Alligator mississippiensis: one gene and its partner. The protein of the gene in region 1 interacts with the protein of each later gene in a biochemical or structural test. Links are inferred from orthologs where the notes say so. Each region holds a gene or a part of one and is shown on either strand. Other genes may lie near its edges.

Region 1 (7,923 bases):
GGGTTTCAAATTGAGGATCTGCCTTTCAGCACCAAGATTCTGCTTGCTGCTCCTCATCGCTGAGGTTTCTGACAACTTTCCAAACGTTAATAACCATAACCTTGCAACATCCCTATGAGACAGGGAAGTATCATCCCCATTGTATCCACCTTAGAACTGAGGCACAAAGAGAGACTAATTCTCATTTCCACCAAGGCCCCTAAAAACTGCTGTGACAGCATAAATTTAAATCCCTCTAACTCTCACTTCAAGACACACTGTTAAGAGCAGCCTAAAGCAGCTTTAATGTAAATGAGAAACTGGGTTAAGAAAAAAAATAATGACTTGCCTCATATCACAAAGGACAACTGTGCATAAGAATTGAATCAAGGTGTCCTGAGAGTAAGACAGACTTCCCCAAACAGTGTAAATCTAATAGAGTCTATTGTCAACTTCCACTTCAATCCTTTTAGCATTTTTCCCATAGAAACAAATTTATTCCCAGCTTTCATCCACAGACTATGGAATGATAATTTCTGTACATTTAAATTCTATCAAGAGTTTCTTGCCTGAGATAATAAAAACCATTGAAAGATATTTGAATTCACTATACATCACTCCAGTTGCAATATCTGAACAACTGAAATTTATTTAGTATTGTAATTTATTTACTTCTTCCTGTCTTACACTTACGAAGCTGTAAGTTATGATGGAGTATGAACTGTAGTGCAACTACAGTTGCATCTAGTGTAGTACTATATGCTTTATAAAAAAGTAAGTTTGAGTGATTACTCTATAAATACTGGAGGAACTTTTCTATTTATATTTTTTAATGTATTTTCCCAAATATTATCACAGGAACCCCCAAAAATATATTCTCTTTAACAGCCTTGTGAGAGAGTCAAGAAGTGTTTTATAAATGTAGCACTATGCTCAGTGGAGGCAGGCTTCTAACCAGGGTGCAATAACCTGAAGTTTTGCCTTTGACTGTAATGAAACTATAATTTCATCCCAGTCTCTCTCTTCCTCCTTGGAGGTACGGCTAGAGTTTTCCAACAAAGACCTCCTTGAATTTATATGTAACTATTATGCTCATTGGTTTTGTTTAAAATATTACTATAAATGAGAATACAAACCACCCTATTCATAGCAGATGTAGCACTAAACATCACCAAAGTGTCAATACTGCCTTACTGCAGTATTCTGTGTCACTGACCATCAGTTAGGTCCCACTCCTTCATCTGCAAGAGTAGAAATAGACAAGTGAGCCATCTAGCAAGTCACTGCCTACCCTCAGTGCAAGATGGCATTGTAGCTTTACTATGGCTGAAGTACCAAAAATGGTGAAGACTTGGTACTTTACATCACGTTGCAATTAATGTTTCTTACATGAAGGTAACCGTACCAGAATACTACCATTTCCATTCCATGGTATTTTCTACATAATACTTGTGAACGCCTCTATGTCAAAATAAAGTACCTAAATTATACAAGGGAGGGAGATGAGGTAGGTAGAGAATGTGACTTACATCATTCTGCTTCTTGTTTGTTGTTGCAGCAGGTAATTTCAGTCTCATAAACTTGCAAATAGTGGTAGTTAGTTGTACTTTCTGCCTTAAAATTGCAAAGAATGGGTGGACAGAAATGTGTTCAAATGAAATGGCAACTGAATATACTTTATAAAAATGGTCTGTGTGAATACAATGCTGTTGCAGATTTTTGCATCAAGAACTGGACCAACAGTAATGAGGTAAGGTGATGGTTTAAATGGCTGTTGTTGCACTGATCTTGTGAGAAAACAATCAAGGCATGATATATAGTTCTGTATTGTTTATTGCTGTTATACCCATTAGTACTTGATATCCTGTTCTTTGTCTTTTTTCTTCTGGATTCACAAAGCATAGAAAAAAGTAAACATGTTGGTAAACCACTGTCTTAGGACACAACTGACTAGACATGCTACTCTCCTCCCTCTCCTTCCTCCTACCCAGACCTCCTTCAAATTGTGAGCTCAGTTTAGGCCAGATGCCAATGGAAGAGGGGAAATGCCAAAGTGTATAGGAGACTGTCAACTCTACATGGCAAGATAGTCTTTGCTAGTTGATCAGCCTGAAAGAGGGGTTGGGTTTTTTTTAGGTTTCACCACATATGAGCTGAGGTGGCAGCTGTAGCTCCTGCTAACTTTTCTCTCATGGGTTGGAATTCTCTGCTGTGTGGCTGTGGATTTCCAGTATAAATAAAGTATTTACACCAGTATAAATAAATATTTACACCAGTATAAATAAAGTAGCTGTAATAAACCAAATTATTCCAGTATATAGGAAAAGAAATGCCTTTCAATAATACATTTAAAACTAGGGAGGGAGGAGTTTGCTCGCTTTTTGAAGATACAGGTGTTATCTCACCCTGGAGATGGGAAGTATTTATTTGTGTTTCAAAGATATTTACAATCACTCTATATTTCAACAGTCTACTCACTGTTCCAGTAGCCAACCTTAAAAAGGAAGGCTTGAGATTGTTAGTGTTCTGGTCAGTTTCTAAGAAACATTCCTCATGATGTACCTAAGCTTAATTACTGTCAAACATTAGTGATTTATTTCTCTTTTCCATTACCTTATCCTGTACTTCAGAGCAATAGTTGGCCAGAGTCAGTCTCTTCCTATTCTAAAAGCAGGGTTCTAGGCAGAAATAAGGGTTTTGTTCGTTAACAAAAATAATCTAATTCTTGTCTGCTTTAGACCTTTCCATAGTCACTTACTTGTGTGTGAAGGCAAAGCATTTGAAAAATGCTACCAAATAGAAGTGTAAGCACATTATACTCAGTATGGTCATATCAGGCCGCATAATCAGCTAAAAGTCAAAGATTATTTTAAGCTGAAGTTGATAGTCAGGGGATAAAACATGTGTGACATCCATTCCCTACACCCTATGAAAATCTGGGAAGACTTTTAAATAACTTGAACTTGCTGGAAATAAACTACTAGTTAAAGTGTAATATTGTTGATCAAATTGTCGTTCAAAGCATTTTTTTCTTTTAAAAATTACTTGTCATTACTCTCATTTCCCTCCCCTTTATTTGCCTAATCAGTAATCACCATTTCCTTCTATCTAGTGATATCTTTTCCTCCCAGTCCTTCCTTTACTCTAACTGCACAATATTTTTCACTTGACTCTTCTCTTAAAAACCCCTTCTTGTCTCTTCCTCTTACATTTGCCTAAGCTTTGGCTGAGTATGCAAGCTGTCTAAGGAGAGTCTAGGAATTTCTAGGTTGTCTATATTAGGATTTTCTGCACTGGTTGTGCAGAAGAGCATAGATGTGTAAGCAAAGGTGTATGAATTGGCTACAAGTGCTACATGATCACAGATGTGTCTGTTACTGTCAGCCAAAGCACAGTTAGTAGAAGTGCTGAACAAAGTTTGCAAAGCCTAGAAACACAGGACTGATTTAATCAGGGGCTGAGTCATCAGAGATATGACTGACATCAAAGCAGGCTTGGGGACAGTCATTTACACAGGAGGCTTAAATGGGAATCAATGGCAATTAGCCACGATTGTTCTCAGGCAAAGTTCTAATTCGGACACTTCTCAGGCACTTAATGCTGGACATTGAGTTTGGTTGACTATCATGTTTGGATCTGACCTGGCACAAAAATACTCTGATACAAATCAACCCAGTTGTGTGTTTTAGCCCAAGAGGAGGATTACAGGCACCAAAGGGGTCTTTTACACAGGAAGCTATTCCTGATGGACTTACTTTATAGAGGTGCCTTTTCCAGAAAAGAAGAGGACCCACACAGGGAATTAACCAGGAAGAGCTACTTCACTTCAAACCTATGCCCTCCCTTAGTCCCAGTAAGCTTCACTGTGCAGAGGAGCCATTAGCTTTCCTGAGGAAATCTTGTGGAGGTAAGAACCAGTCACTCAGAAGCAACACAAGGGGTCTGACTGACTTGCTCCCTGCAAAGGCTGACCAAAAACATCCACTCCCCACAATGACGGCAGGCAGAGAAGTTCACAGCTGACCTGGGGCTCTAGCTGTGCCCCTTATGGATCTGGCTACTCCACCCAGTTGTGGGCTCACATCAGCAAATTGGGCCACAGAGAAAGAAACACAGTCAGCAAATGGAAATATCTCTAGTGCTCCGTTTGGACAAGGCAAGGCTGCTGTCTGTGCCCCCCTACCTACATGCCTCTGAGCATAGGCTTAGGCTGCGCTAATGCTGGGAGTTTTAACGCTTTTTTCTCTGAAAGTGTGGTGTTAGAGGGGTGTCATGGTAGCTTCCAAGGGGTGTCACGGTAGTGTTAAGGGTGGTGTCGGAGGGGGGTCATGGTATCATCATGGTAGTGTTGGAGGGGTGTGATGGTAGCATAAGGGAGGTGGCAGAGGGGTGTCATGGTAGTGTCATGGTAGCATTAGAGGGGTGTCATGATAGTGTAAGGGGAGTGCTGGAGGGGTGTCACAGTAGCCTAAGGGTAGTGGCAACTCTGATGGCCCACAAATGACTTGAGGAGAGGCAACGTCCGGCAGGCTGCCTGTCTTTTGCCCAACCGGACTGACTAGGAGTAACAACTACCAGGCGACTTTAAGGACCGCCCCAGGCGGGGCTGGGCGGAACCGGACACACTCGGACCCTGCGCGAGCGGTGTGCACACAGCCAGCAACGCCTCTCCCCGCCCCCACAGGACGCCCCGGGCCCCTCCCCCCACCCCCGCCCACGCAGGAACGGAACTCCCCCCGCCCCCCTACTGCCCGCCACTGACTCCGCCCCCCGCTACCTGCCGGCGTCGCGGATTGGCCGCTACAGCCCCGCCCCGCTGCTGACGTGCACAGCCTCGGTTTGACGGGCAGGTATGGCCCGGGCGCCATGTTGGTGAGCGGGAGCGGGAGCGGGAGCGGAAGCGGTGCGGGGGGAGGGCGGCTCTGCCTGGCAGGAGCGGGACGCGGCGGTAGCAGTGGGACCCGCAGCCGGGGCCGGGGCAGCCCGCGGTCTTGCCCGCTCCTCCCCTGCCGTGTCTTCGTGCTCGGCCGGTTGGGAGCCGGGGCGCGCGGGCGGGCGGGAAGATGCCGCTGGCGCAGCTGGCGGACCCCTGGCAGAAGATGGCTGTGGAGAGCGCGGCCGAGAGCGGAGCCGAGGTACCGCCCCCCCCTTGTGTCCGTGTGTGTCCCGCTCCCCTCCTCTTTCTCTTGACCCTGCGCCCGCACTTCCCGCCGGGCCCCCGCGCCGGACGAGGGGGAGCGCCCCTTGCCGCCAGCCCGTGGGGAGTGGGGCCGCGCGGACTTAGTAACGTGAAGCCGCGGGGCTGGGGCTGGGGCCGGGGCCGGGGCCGGGCGGCGCTGGAGGTGCCCCTATTCTGCCTCGCGCCCAGACTTGGCGGCGCTCCAAGCCCTTCCGGCTCGGGAGGCTGGGGAGAGGTTTCTCCCCCGGCTCGCCGCTGTCCTTGGGTTACTTCAGAGGAGACGGCTTCGTTGGCTGGCAGGCGGATCTGCTGTTCCCGTTTCTCAAGCCTAGTTTAAAGTACCTGTCTGTCACTCTCGGGGTGTTTTCTCCCCGCACGGGAGTGGGGTAAAATTTTCCAGCTGAAAGGTAACTGCTGGGAGCGCTGGGGAAACCGCTCTTTATGTCTGGTGAAGACTTAGAGTTGGTGAAGAGTCGTTTTAATCTCCCTCGTGTAGGGTGGTCCTTTTGACTGGAAACCAGTTTGCCTCTAGCATATATGTGAAATTTGTGGGCATATTTTAGAAACGCACCTTGCAAAAGGAGAACAAGGTTCTTTGGGTGAATCTGATATCTTTTATTAAACCAAGTGTGTGTGTGTGTGTGTGTGTGTGTGTGTAATAAAACTTTTACAAAAGGATACATTATATATCTACACACACACGTAATATGTACATGTATATAAAATCAGTTTTAAAGGCCAATGGGACTATACTGATTTGCAACAATGGAGAAGATTTAGTATACTAAATTTATTTCTAGTATTCCATCTTTTAAAATTGCTACCCCGTAATTTCATATTATATTAATTGTCAAGACTTGTATGTATATACGTACATACATGTGTGTGTATATGTACAAATGTATCCTTTTGTAAGAGTTGTTTCTAGAACTTGCCCACATCCTCAATCCTAAATTCAAAATATGCTCTGTTTTTAAAGATTTGACATTCTTCTCTTTTTTTAATAGAAAATGCCTGTAACAATTCCTTGAATTCAGTATATCCTGCTGTTTCTTGACTTGATTGATTGATTGATTGATTTTCCAAATGCTCAGGTTAATCAAGGACCTCAACCAGTGACCTAAATACTTACTCCATGTTTTCAGTTCCCACAAATTAACCTTTATCAGGGGCACTGTGCACTTCTAATTGCAGCATCAGAGCCATGGTCAAGGCTTCTACGTGAAAAACATAAGAAGTGCCATACTAGGCCACTAGCCTGTCTCCAACACTGGCAAAAGCTGATGCCTTAGAGCAGTAGTTGTCAACCCCAGGTGCCACAGGAAGTATAGGAAGATAAGCAGGTAAGGGCAGGCTGAGGCCCTCCCTGCGTGGCTGTTCCCCCCACCTCGATTGCATGGCCCTGCTGCAAGGACATAAACACTGTAATAAATACACTAGTTTTTGAAATGGTGTGCTGCAAAATTCTTGAAGCTATGAGGGTTGCCTCAAGTGTAGCAGGGTTGGGAGCCACTCCTTTAGAGCAGCGGTTTTCAACCTTTTTTTTGTTGTACCAGGACCCATTTGTAAATATCAATGGCCTGTCCCGACCTAGTGCTTCTCACTCCTGACCCACTAGCCCCAGCCCCCCAGTGTGTGGGGCAAGGGGGTGGGGTGGGGGCCCCAAGCAGCCCTTTGCAGGCTATAACTCTGGCAGCCTGCAAGGGGAATGCCACCATTATTCACACTTTTCTCCTTTAAAGGAAAATAATTTTTAAAGTTTGTTCATGACCCTTTCATATATTCTTGTGACCCCTTTTGAGTAATGCTGCTTTAGAGGAAGAATGAACTGGGCATATCTAGAGTGATCCATGCCCTATTCATCACACTCCCTAGCATCCACCATCCTTGGTTTAGAGATGCCAGAGGATCCATCTCTGACTGCTCTGTTTAACAGCTATTAATAGATTTATTGTCCATGAATTTTTGATCCTGCCTGAGCTGTATGCCTCTACAAACTTGTGGTAGATTTTTGGCCCCTGTGGAGCAACATTATGATTTGGCCTCTGTAGAGGTACATGAACTCTCTCATTAACAACTTTTGTAAAACACCACTGATGTCTCAATAAACTTACTATTTCATAGAGATGCACTAAGTCCTAAAGTATTCAGGTCTGGACATTTGTACTGATAGAGGTCCCTGCGGTATAAACTGATTCATGCAGGCCAAGGTGCTGTTCCAATGAATTAGTAATAGCAGACCTTTCTCTTGCTTTAAATTATACCATTACTGTGGATAGTGGTTCTTCTTCTAAGAGGAAATATATACAACTGAAAAAGCTTGCAATACAAGCATAAATTTATACAGTATCAAAGATGAACTCCTAGGTTGATTTTTTTTCTACAGCAAGTAATAAAGCAGGGCGCACTGATCTTGTTTATGGTCTTGGCGGCTATATGATATGAAATTCTGGGGTAGCAATTTTTAAAGAAGCGCTATTAGAAATAATTTGGTATACTAAATGTTCTCCATTGTTGCAAATCAGTATAGTCCCATTAGCCTTCAAAGCTGTGATAATTGACATCACCTTAGGTTTTGCCTCAAGTTCCTTAACTGGTATCTGTCTTAAAAAGCAGGGTTTATAGTGCAGATGCTGCATGTGTGAAATAGGCAAAGTGGTAAAAAACTTCAAATATTGGCATATAACTATAGGCATGTAAGTTCATATTTTAGAAACCTTATTTTTTCAGAAACATTATGCTTCTAGCATTGGTCTTTACTAGCC
Region 2 (7,462 bases), on another chromosome or scaffold:
CCAACTCCAGAACAGGAGGACACCGTTGTAGGGCAAGAGGGACCAGGAGCCAGGACTCCTGGGTTCCCTACTCCCAGCTGTGGAAGTGGGGAGCCAAGCAGGACTCCTGGGCTCTGTTCCCAGCTCACTTGCACAATCACTTTCTCCCCGTGCCTTAGTTTCCCTCCTGTGATCCAATGCCACTCGCAGCAGTTTCAATGCCACTCCCTGCCCTGCCTGGGGCTGGGGCGAATATGGCTGTAATTAGAGGCCTCACCGGGCCTGGATGTGGCTGGTGTGGGCACCTGGGCACTGCATCTGGGAGAGATAATTAGAGACTGGGGGTGGCAGGATCACAGTGCGCCGTCTCTGCGGGGGCGATGTGGTCCCAAGTCGCGGCTCCAGGGCTGCAGCGAGGATTGGCTGGATGAAGGACTGCGGGAAAAAGGCAGAGACAGAGGCTGCCTCCTCCAGTGCTGGGAAGCTACTCGCAGGGGCAGGTACGGCCCAGCCTAGGGGCAGCAGGGCTGGGCACAGGGGAGGCCTCATCTCCCTGAGGAAGGGAGGCATAACTTTCACGTGCATACCCATGTGAACATGCATAGTCCCCCTGCCCTAGCTGCCTGGCAGCGATGCTCCCCCGGCTAGGTGGAGGTAAGATGGGTACCATGGGGCGTCTACTGTGGGGCCAAAGGATGCCCCATGGTGCCTGTCTGACCTCAACCCTTCCACGGAGCATCGCTGCCAGACACCTGCGGTAGGGGGACTAGGCATGTTCACATGGGAACATCTGTACATGTTCATTCGAGCGTGGGCACACACACGTGAAAGTGTGCGCTGAGCCTGCACATGCATCCGCACGGATGGTGAGTGTGCACTGCATGCAGACACGGAGCGTGCCCTGCGCGTGGCAGGGTGCTGGGGTGTACATCACAATTGTGGGCCATGTTGAGCCCAGGGGGAAGTGTGCACTGACTGTCACACAAGTGGCGGCTGTGAAATGACTGCGAGCGCGTGAGCGTGCAGGCTGGGAACATGACGGGCTCCAGGGATCCGGCCCTGTGGGCAGGCTCTGTTTAGGATGGGAAAGGGTTAAGTTCCCATGTATGCAAATACAGCTGAGCGGGGCAGGGAGCCTGGCAGGGCCCCCAAATCCCCCCCACTGCATCCTCACCAGCACCAGAATGGACCCCTGCCTGCCTGCTCCCCCTGGCTCTGCCACTGGCCTACGGGGGGATGTGGCCACCCCATGCCTCAGTTTCCCCCTCCCAGCCTCTGCCTGCCTCATCTGCCTGGCCGTGATAGCCTCTGCTTTCTCCATGCAGCGCCCGGCACCACGAGTGCCCCGACCATAGCCGTGCAGGGCCACAAGCTGCCACAGCACAGAGTTGGCCTAGCAGGGCAATTGGGGGGGGGGGGGCGGAGGCTGCTCAGGCACACACGTGTGCCCACTTGCAGACCCGGTGCCAGCTAGGGAGGCTGGCAAGGGGGGCTGACACGGCGGCCCCATGGGAGGAGGGGACCAGTGCCACGGCGGCGTGTGAAGGAGCGGCGACGAGCACAGCTGGCAATTTCCGCCGTGATTGTTTAACCGTGATTGTTTAGCCGCGCGCAGATTACAGGACGGGCAGCTCCACTCCCAGCCCCCTTCTGGCCTGCCGGCATCACGAGGCCTTGCCCTGAGCCCAGAGCCCCCCAAGCCAGGCCCCGCCAGATGCCCATGGCAGGTGCCCCAGCCCCACCACCAGAGTCAGCCTGCTGCTCCCGGCGTGGATGGAGCGGGCTCCAGGGCATGGCGCTGGAGCCAGACCTCAGGGCGAGGAAGCCAGGCCTGCCAGTCGCACGTCCAGCCCTGGCATCAACTGGGCATGGGGGCGTGAGGAAGGGGCCCAAGCCAAGATGCCTTTGAGAGGCCGGTTCCCAAAACAAAGGGAGGAGCAGCCCCAACCCCAACCACCCGGCCCCTGACACGTGGGGTCCATGGAGGGCAAACGGGGGACTCTTCACAGAACGGGGACGGAGCAGCCCACAGCCAGGTGCCCGGACGGGGACCCCATCGGGAGACCCCCAAGTCCCAGGGGGGCCAGCCAAGGCACACGGAAGCTGCCCCAGGACATCACGGCGCGGGGCCAAGGGCTCTGGACAAGCTGAAGGACGTCCTCCAGCACTGCCCTGCGGGGCCGCGAGAGGTCCCAGGAGATGACATCAAGTCTGGGGCCAGCTCCCACCAGACTGGCCCCACGCCCTCCAGCGAGCCATTCCCACGGCGCTGGGTCCCCCCACCCCCGGACCCGGGTTTGGCCACCTCGAGGCACCAGCGCCCTGCACAGAGCCGCCACATGACGGAGCGCGCCGCGAGCACCAGCCTGGTGCCCCCCGCACGCGCCCTCTGCCCACTGCCCCTCCCTCGGCCGCCGCCCGGGCACCGGACAGGGAGACCGAGCCCAGACCCGCACGTGCAGAAAACGCCACGCACGAACCGGGCACGGAAAGCAGGAGTCCGGGGAGCTCTAACCCCTGCCAGGCAGCCCCCAGCCCCAACTCCTAGACACCACTGCCTCGCCCGGCCACGCCCGGCTTGACAGCCCGTGGGCAGAGATCAGGCGACCAGTCCGGTGCCGCCCAGCGCGCGGGGCAGGGGCAGGGGCAGGGGCAGGCCGGACCCCGGGCCCCGTCTCCGTGCTGGCGCGGGGGGCGAGGGGCTGCAGGCCTGCCCTTGCCCCGGTGCCCGGGAGCATCCTGCTGCGTGGCGCGGGCGCGGGACTGTGGGGCAGGGCAGGGGAGCGGGCAGCGGCCAGCACCGCACCGCACCGCACCGCACCGCACCGCTGCACCCCCGGGCAGGCACGAGGCGGGGCGGCGGCTGCCCTGAGCCGCCCGCACCCCGGCTGCTCCCGCACGCGGCATCGGGCACCTCCCGCACGCCCCGCTCCCGGGCACCCCGGCTCCCGCGCGCGGCGCCTCCCCCCGCCCCGCGGCCCGGCCCGGCCGGCCGGCACTCACCGCTCGGCGGCTGCGGGGCTGATCGCGGTCTGCGCCGGGCGGCGGCTCCTCCTGCGCGGGGCGGGCGGGGCGGTGACGTCACCGGGCGCCTTTGTGCTCCGGCCGCGCGGGGCCGCCCGTGTGTGCGCGTGTCGGTGTGCGTGCCTGCGTGTGTGTGTGTCTGGGCACATGCGTGTGTGTGATTGTGCGGACACACGCATCAGTGTGCGAGCGTGTGTGGGCATTCGTGGGCGCGTGCATGCATGAACATCCATGAATGTGTGCATGTGCAAGTATGTGCGTGTGGGCCTGCGTGTGTGTGTGCATTTGTGCCCACGTGATTGTACATAGTGTGCGCGCGTCTGTGCAAGTGTGGGCGTGCGCGTGTGTGCATGTGTGCCTGCATGTATGTATGTACATGTATGTGGGCATGTGCGTGTGTGTGCAAGTATGTGGGGGTGCATTTGTGCCTGCGTGTATATACATATATGTGTGGGCGTGTGTGTGTGTGTGCAAGTATGTGTGTGTGGGTATGCACGTGTGCATTTGTGTCTGCATGTGTGTACATATGTGTGGGCATGTGTGTGTGCAAGTATGCATGTGTGCATTTGTGTCTGCGTGTATGTACATATATGTGTGGGCATGTGTGTGTGTGCATTTGTGCCTGCATGTATATACATATATGTGTGGGTGTGGGCGTGCATGTGCATGTGTGGCCATTGGGGTGTGCATATGTGTATGCATGTGCACACATGTGTGCATGGGCATTTGTGCATGTATGCATGGGAATGCTTATGGGGGGGGTGTACATGTGCACATGTGTTTCCTGGCTGGATGGAGGCGGGGAGCTGCCCCTGCCCCTGGCATCTCCATCCCTGCCAGGCGAGGCCTGAACAGCCAGCCTGTGCCCAAGGGCTCCAGGCAAGAGGGGCAGGGCCCAGCTCCATGGGGTCAGGCTCGGCCGCTACTCTTTCACCTCAGCTCCTTTCCTCCAAACCAAACCAGGCCAAGGCATCTGACTTGGTCACACCAGCCCCCCGCACTGGGCAGGCCAGAGCCACCTGCCCCACAGGGCACATGCAGCAGGGTCCCCCATGACAGCCCGGGTCCCAGAGGGGCTGCTCCAAGCCACGCTGTTCCCTTCAGCTTCACTGCTGCACTAGTGCAGCCCCCTGCCTTGTCCTCGCTCCCCTGCAGCAATGGGTGGCAGGACTGCGTGGTTTGCAGGCTGGCACGTGCCCGCCACCCAGTATTGCAGAGTCAGCTCCAGAGAGGCTGGCAGCTGCGGTGCATAAGCAGCCTTGAAGACGGGGCCCTGGACCCAGCGGCCTTGCCCCTGAGCCCCCCACTACTGCCGCAGTCCCGCCCCCCACAGCTCCCTCGCCCTTTGTGCCACGCAAAAATGAGACTGAAAGGAGGAAGCAGGCCGAGGACGGGGCTTTCACTTCCCCGGGGCCAGAGATCTGGTGCTGGCAGGCGCCCTCAGCCTGGCAGCCAGGCCCACGTTGGGCAGGGTGCTGGGCCTCACGTGGAGGGAGGGGAGCGCCCAGGCCTGCCGGCCTCTGCCCCAGGGAGGCCAGATCCATTCCCATGCGTGCGGCTGCAGCTGGCCGATGTGAACCCAGAGCCGCAGCTGTTTGGATGGCCGCCACCATTTCCTTGCTCGGGGCTGGCAGCTCCAACCACTTGCGATACACGGCCCCAGCCTCCCCACCTCCCGTGGTGGCAGTGGGGTGGGGCTACTGGGGGGGCTCCCAGATGCTCCATCCAGGGCAAGGAGGGAGCAGGCTGGCCTGCTAGCTCCCCCTTACACTGGTGGGTGATCGGGGCACTGAGGTCTCTTTCTGTTTCTCTTGGGCAGGAAGTGAAAAGAGAATCTCATTTCCAGTTGAAACCTCTGGGGGATTTTACTGTAGTGGAAAAAAATTACCCAGGATTGGGCAAGGCCAGGGCACCAGGCTTCTGCCTCCATCCCCATGAAATCAGGGGGCATCCAGGAGTGGTGAGTCCAGCACCGTGGCGCCCACTTCACGGCCCCTGGGCAGCCCCTACTGCTACGCTATGGGAGCTGGGCTCCCCTACCCCTGGCCCTCCCATGTCTGCCCTGTGCAATCGAGTGCCCTGTCATGGGGCACTAGGGTGAGCAATGCCCTGCACAGAGCCTGCAGCACCCCCCAGGGACCTGCCATCCTGCAGCCCAGGGAAAGGGCCCTGCAGGCTGGGACCCTGCCAGGCTTCGGTGCCCCAGTGCAGAGGGTCCATCGTGATACCCCAACATCCTCCCAGCTACAGCACATGTCCCAGGGTCTCTGCAGCTGCCCCCCAGCTGGCAGCCAAGGCTGGAACTGCCCCTCCATGCATGCAGAGAACTGCCCCTGCTCCCCCACCCTTGGCACTGTGGGCTGCAGCTCCTCTGCCCCACCACCTCCCCATAGCAGTCTGTGTGCTAGCCCCCAAATGCAGCAGATATCCCAGCAGGCCTTGTCTTCACAGCTCCTCCATGAGCAGGTCCAAGGATGGGGCTGGGGACGCCCTGTAGCAGGAAGCACTGAGATGGAGTGAACCCCCAAAAACAAAGCCCAACAAGCACGGTCCATTCAGTTCAGCCGCAAACCAGGACCAAGGAGAAGGGAAGAGTCCCAGGGCCCCAAAACCCAGTCTCGTTGGAGTCCACACGAGCTCCAATGAGACGCAGAAACCCACCCCATGTTCCCCTCCCATGGGTCTGGCCCGACACAGCTCTCACCAGCCGGGCGCCGTACTGCAGGTTTTATTGCCTTGCTGGTTGCAATGTTGCTCTGTACAAAGTTGGTTATAAATATACAAATTGCACATTGGTTGCTCCCCGGGGCAGGGTGGGGGGGAAAGGGGGCAGGCTCTAGCTGGGGTCTGCCTGCAGCAGGACCCCTCTCTGCTTCCCGCAGGCTGCAGGGCTCCCGTCACAGGGAGAGCCCGAAGACAGGGTCACACGCTGCCAGCAGGGCACGAAGTGGGGCTCAGGGCTGGCTTCTGTCCCATGTTGGCATGAGCTGGCTCTGAGTGCATGGGACACTGTTGCCTCAGCTGGTAGCAACAGGAGCCACTCACTCAAGTGTCATGAGCCCTATAGAGCTGAGAGAGGATGGGGATTTTCCTCTAGCCTGAGGGTTAGTGGGGTCAGGGCTGTGCTGTGGCCTGACTCCCCCCAGCTGTTCGAGGAGGGGTGTCAGGGCAACAAGGCCAAGATAAAGCTCAGCTAAGCCCTGTTTCGTGCCTTGTGAGTGCCTTGGGAAGGGGGAGGGGATGGGGGCACAGGCTGCATTGGGGGGTTCCTCCCCCCAAGGAAGCCAGCACCTGTCAGGGGCAGCATGTGGTTCCCGGGGAGCCGACGGCTTAAATAGGATCCATACAAAAATGTGCCACGGCTAGAGTCTGGCCACGTGGCCGTGGCCACACACTGCTGTCACCCCACCCCCAAGACCCCGTGGGTGCCCTGGGTGGGCCCGGGCAGAGTGTGGCCCCGGGCGAGACCCAACAGGGAGGCGACGACATCTAGTCATCGTCGTCATCGTCATCATCGTCGTCGTCATCATCGTCCTCTGTGTTGATCTCGCCTTCCAGCACATCCTCGATCCAGTCCTCCAGCTCATCTACCGAGGGCAGGTCTTCCTCGTCATCCATCTCCATCCAGATGCTGTCAGCCTGTGAGAGGGGAGGGGCGCAGGGGTAAGGTGGAGAGGGCACAGGGGGCTGGTGGATCTGGCATGGCTATTCCCAGAAGGTCATGAGAGGGCAGGTCTTAGCTGTGGAACAAGCCAGTCCCATCGCTAGTCCAGGGACAGAGCTCCCCTGGTCCCATGTGGGGTGTGGCTGGGAATCAGCTGCCTGGCCTGCAGAGCCACTGACCCTGGGATGGGTCCAAGCAGGGCAGGGGCCTTGCCAATCCATGGGGAGGGGGCAGCCAGCACCAGGCCCGGGGCACAGAGATCAGCACAGGGGGCAGAGGCAGCTGGGAGAGGCCAAGGGAGCCTGTGGCAGGACGGTTTGGATACAGGGCGCTCCGGCTGGCTGCGCATCACGCCTGGCACCAAAGTGTGTCGGACGCGTATTCCCAGTCTGCGCTCCAGCATGTGTGTAAAGCCCAGGGCAGCCCCACACCTGTTGCCAGAAGCAGATACGTGGCCCATCCGGAGTCAAAGGTCAGGGTCTGAGTGGCGTGGAGCAGATATACGTTGTCCCTGCTTCTGCTGGGGCACAGCTGGTGCGCTGGAACAGTTACCCCTGAAGCGAGGAGCTGCTGCCCTCTGGTGCGAGCTATTTCGGGGCACAGAACGTGTCTGCTCCCAGGGCTCAGGGCAGCCGTGTACCCACCCCCAGTGTCCAGGGGCTGTCCCAACACCTCCTGCCAGCGGGCAGCAGAGGAGAGTGGCAGGAACCCCCAGGGAGGCCAACACAGGGCCACAGCTGGGGCGAGGTCGGTGGCTGGGGCACTCACATCGGTGACGTTGACCACGCCGATCTG

What was found.
Region 2: the proteins of RPS6KA3 (region 1) and PEA15 form a complex in vitro, tested with the Homo sapiens proteins (2 studies listed by BioGRID). The link is inferred for Alligator mississippiensis from reciprocal best matches to the Homo sapiens genes RPS6KA3 and PEA15.

What each region holds. Positions count from the first base shown.
Region 1 is NC_081824.1:318,755,174-318,763,096, forward strand, and holds the start of RPS6KA3 (ribosomal protein S6 kinase alpha-3), read left to right. Parts: upstream 1-4,875; 5' UTR 4,876-5,042; coding exon 5,043-5,114; intron 5,115-7,923. UniProt on the Homo sapiens protein: Serine/threonine-protein kinase that acts downstream of ERK (MAPK1/ERK2 and MAPK3/ERK1) signaling and mediates mitogenic and stress-induced activation of the transcription factors CREB1, ETV1/ER81 and NR4A1/NUR77, regulates translation through RPS6 and EIF4B phosphorylation, and mediates cellular proliferation, survival, and differentiation by modulating mTOR signaling and repressing pro-apoptotic function of BAD and DAPK1.
Region 2 is NC_081838.1:21,050,828-21,058,289, reverse strand, and holds the start of PEA15 (astrocytic phosphoprotein PEA-15), read right to left. Parts: upstream 3,067-7,462; 5' UTR 2,983-3,066; intron 1-2,982. Other genes in the region: CASQ1 (calsequestrin-1), read right to left, coding at 6,493-6,642, 7,436-7,462. UniProt on the Homo sapiens protein: Blocks Ras-mediated inhibition of integrin activation and modulates the ERK MAP kinase cascade. Inhibits RPS6KA3 activities by retaining it in the cytoplasm. Inhibits both TNFRSF6- and TNFRSF1A-mediated CASP8 activity and apoptosis.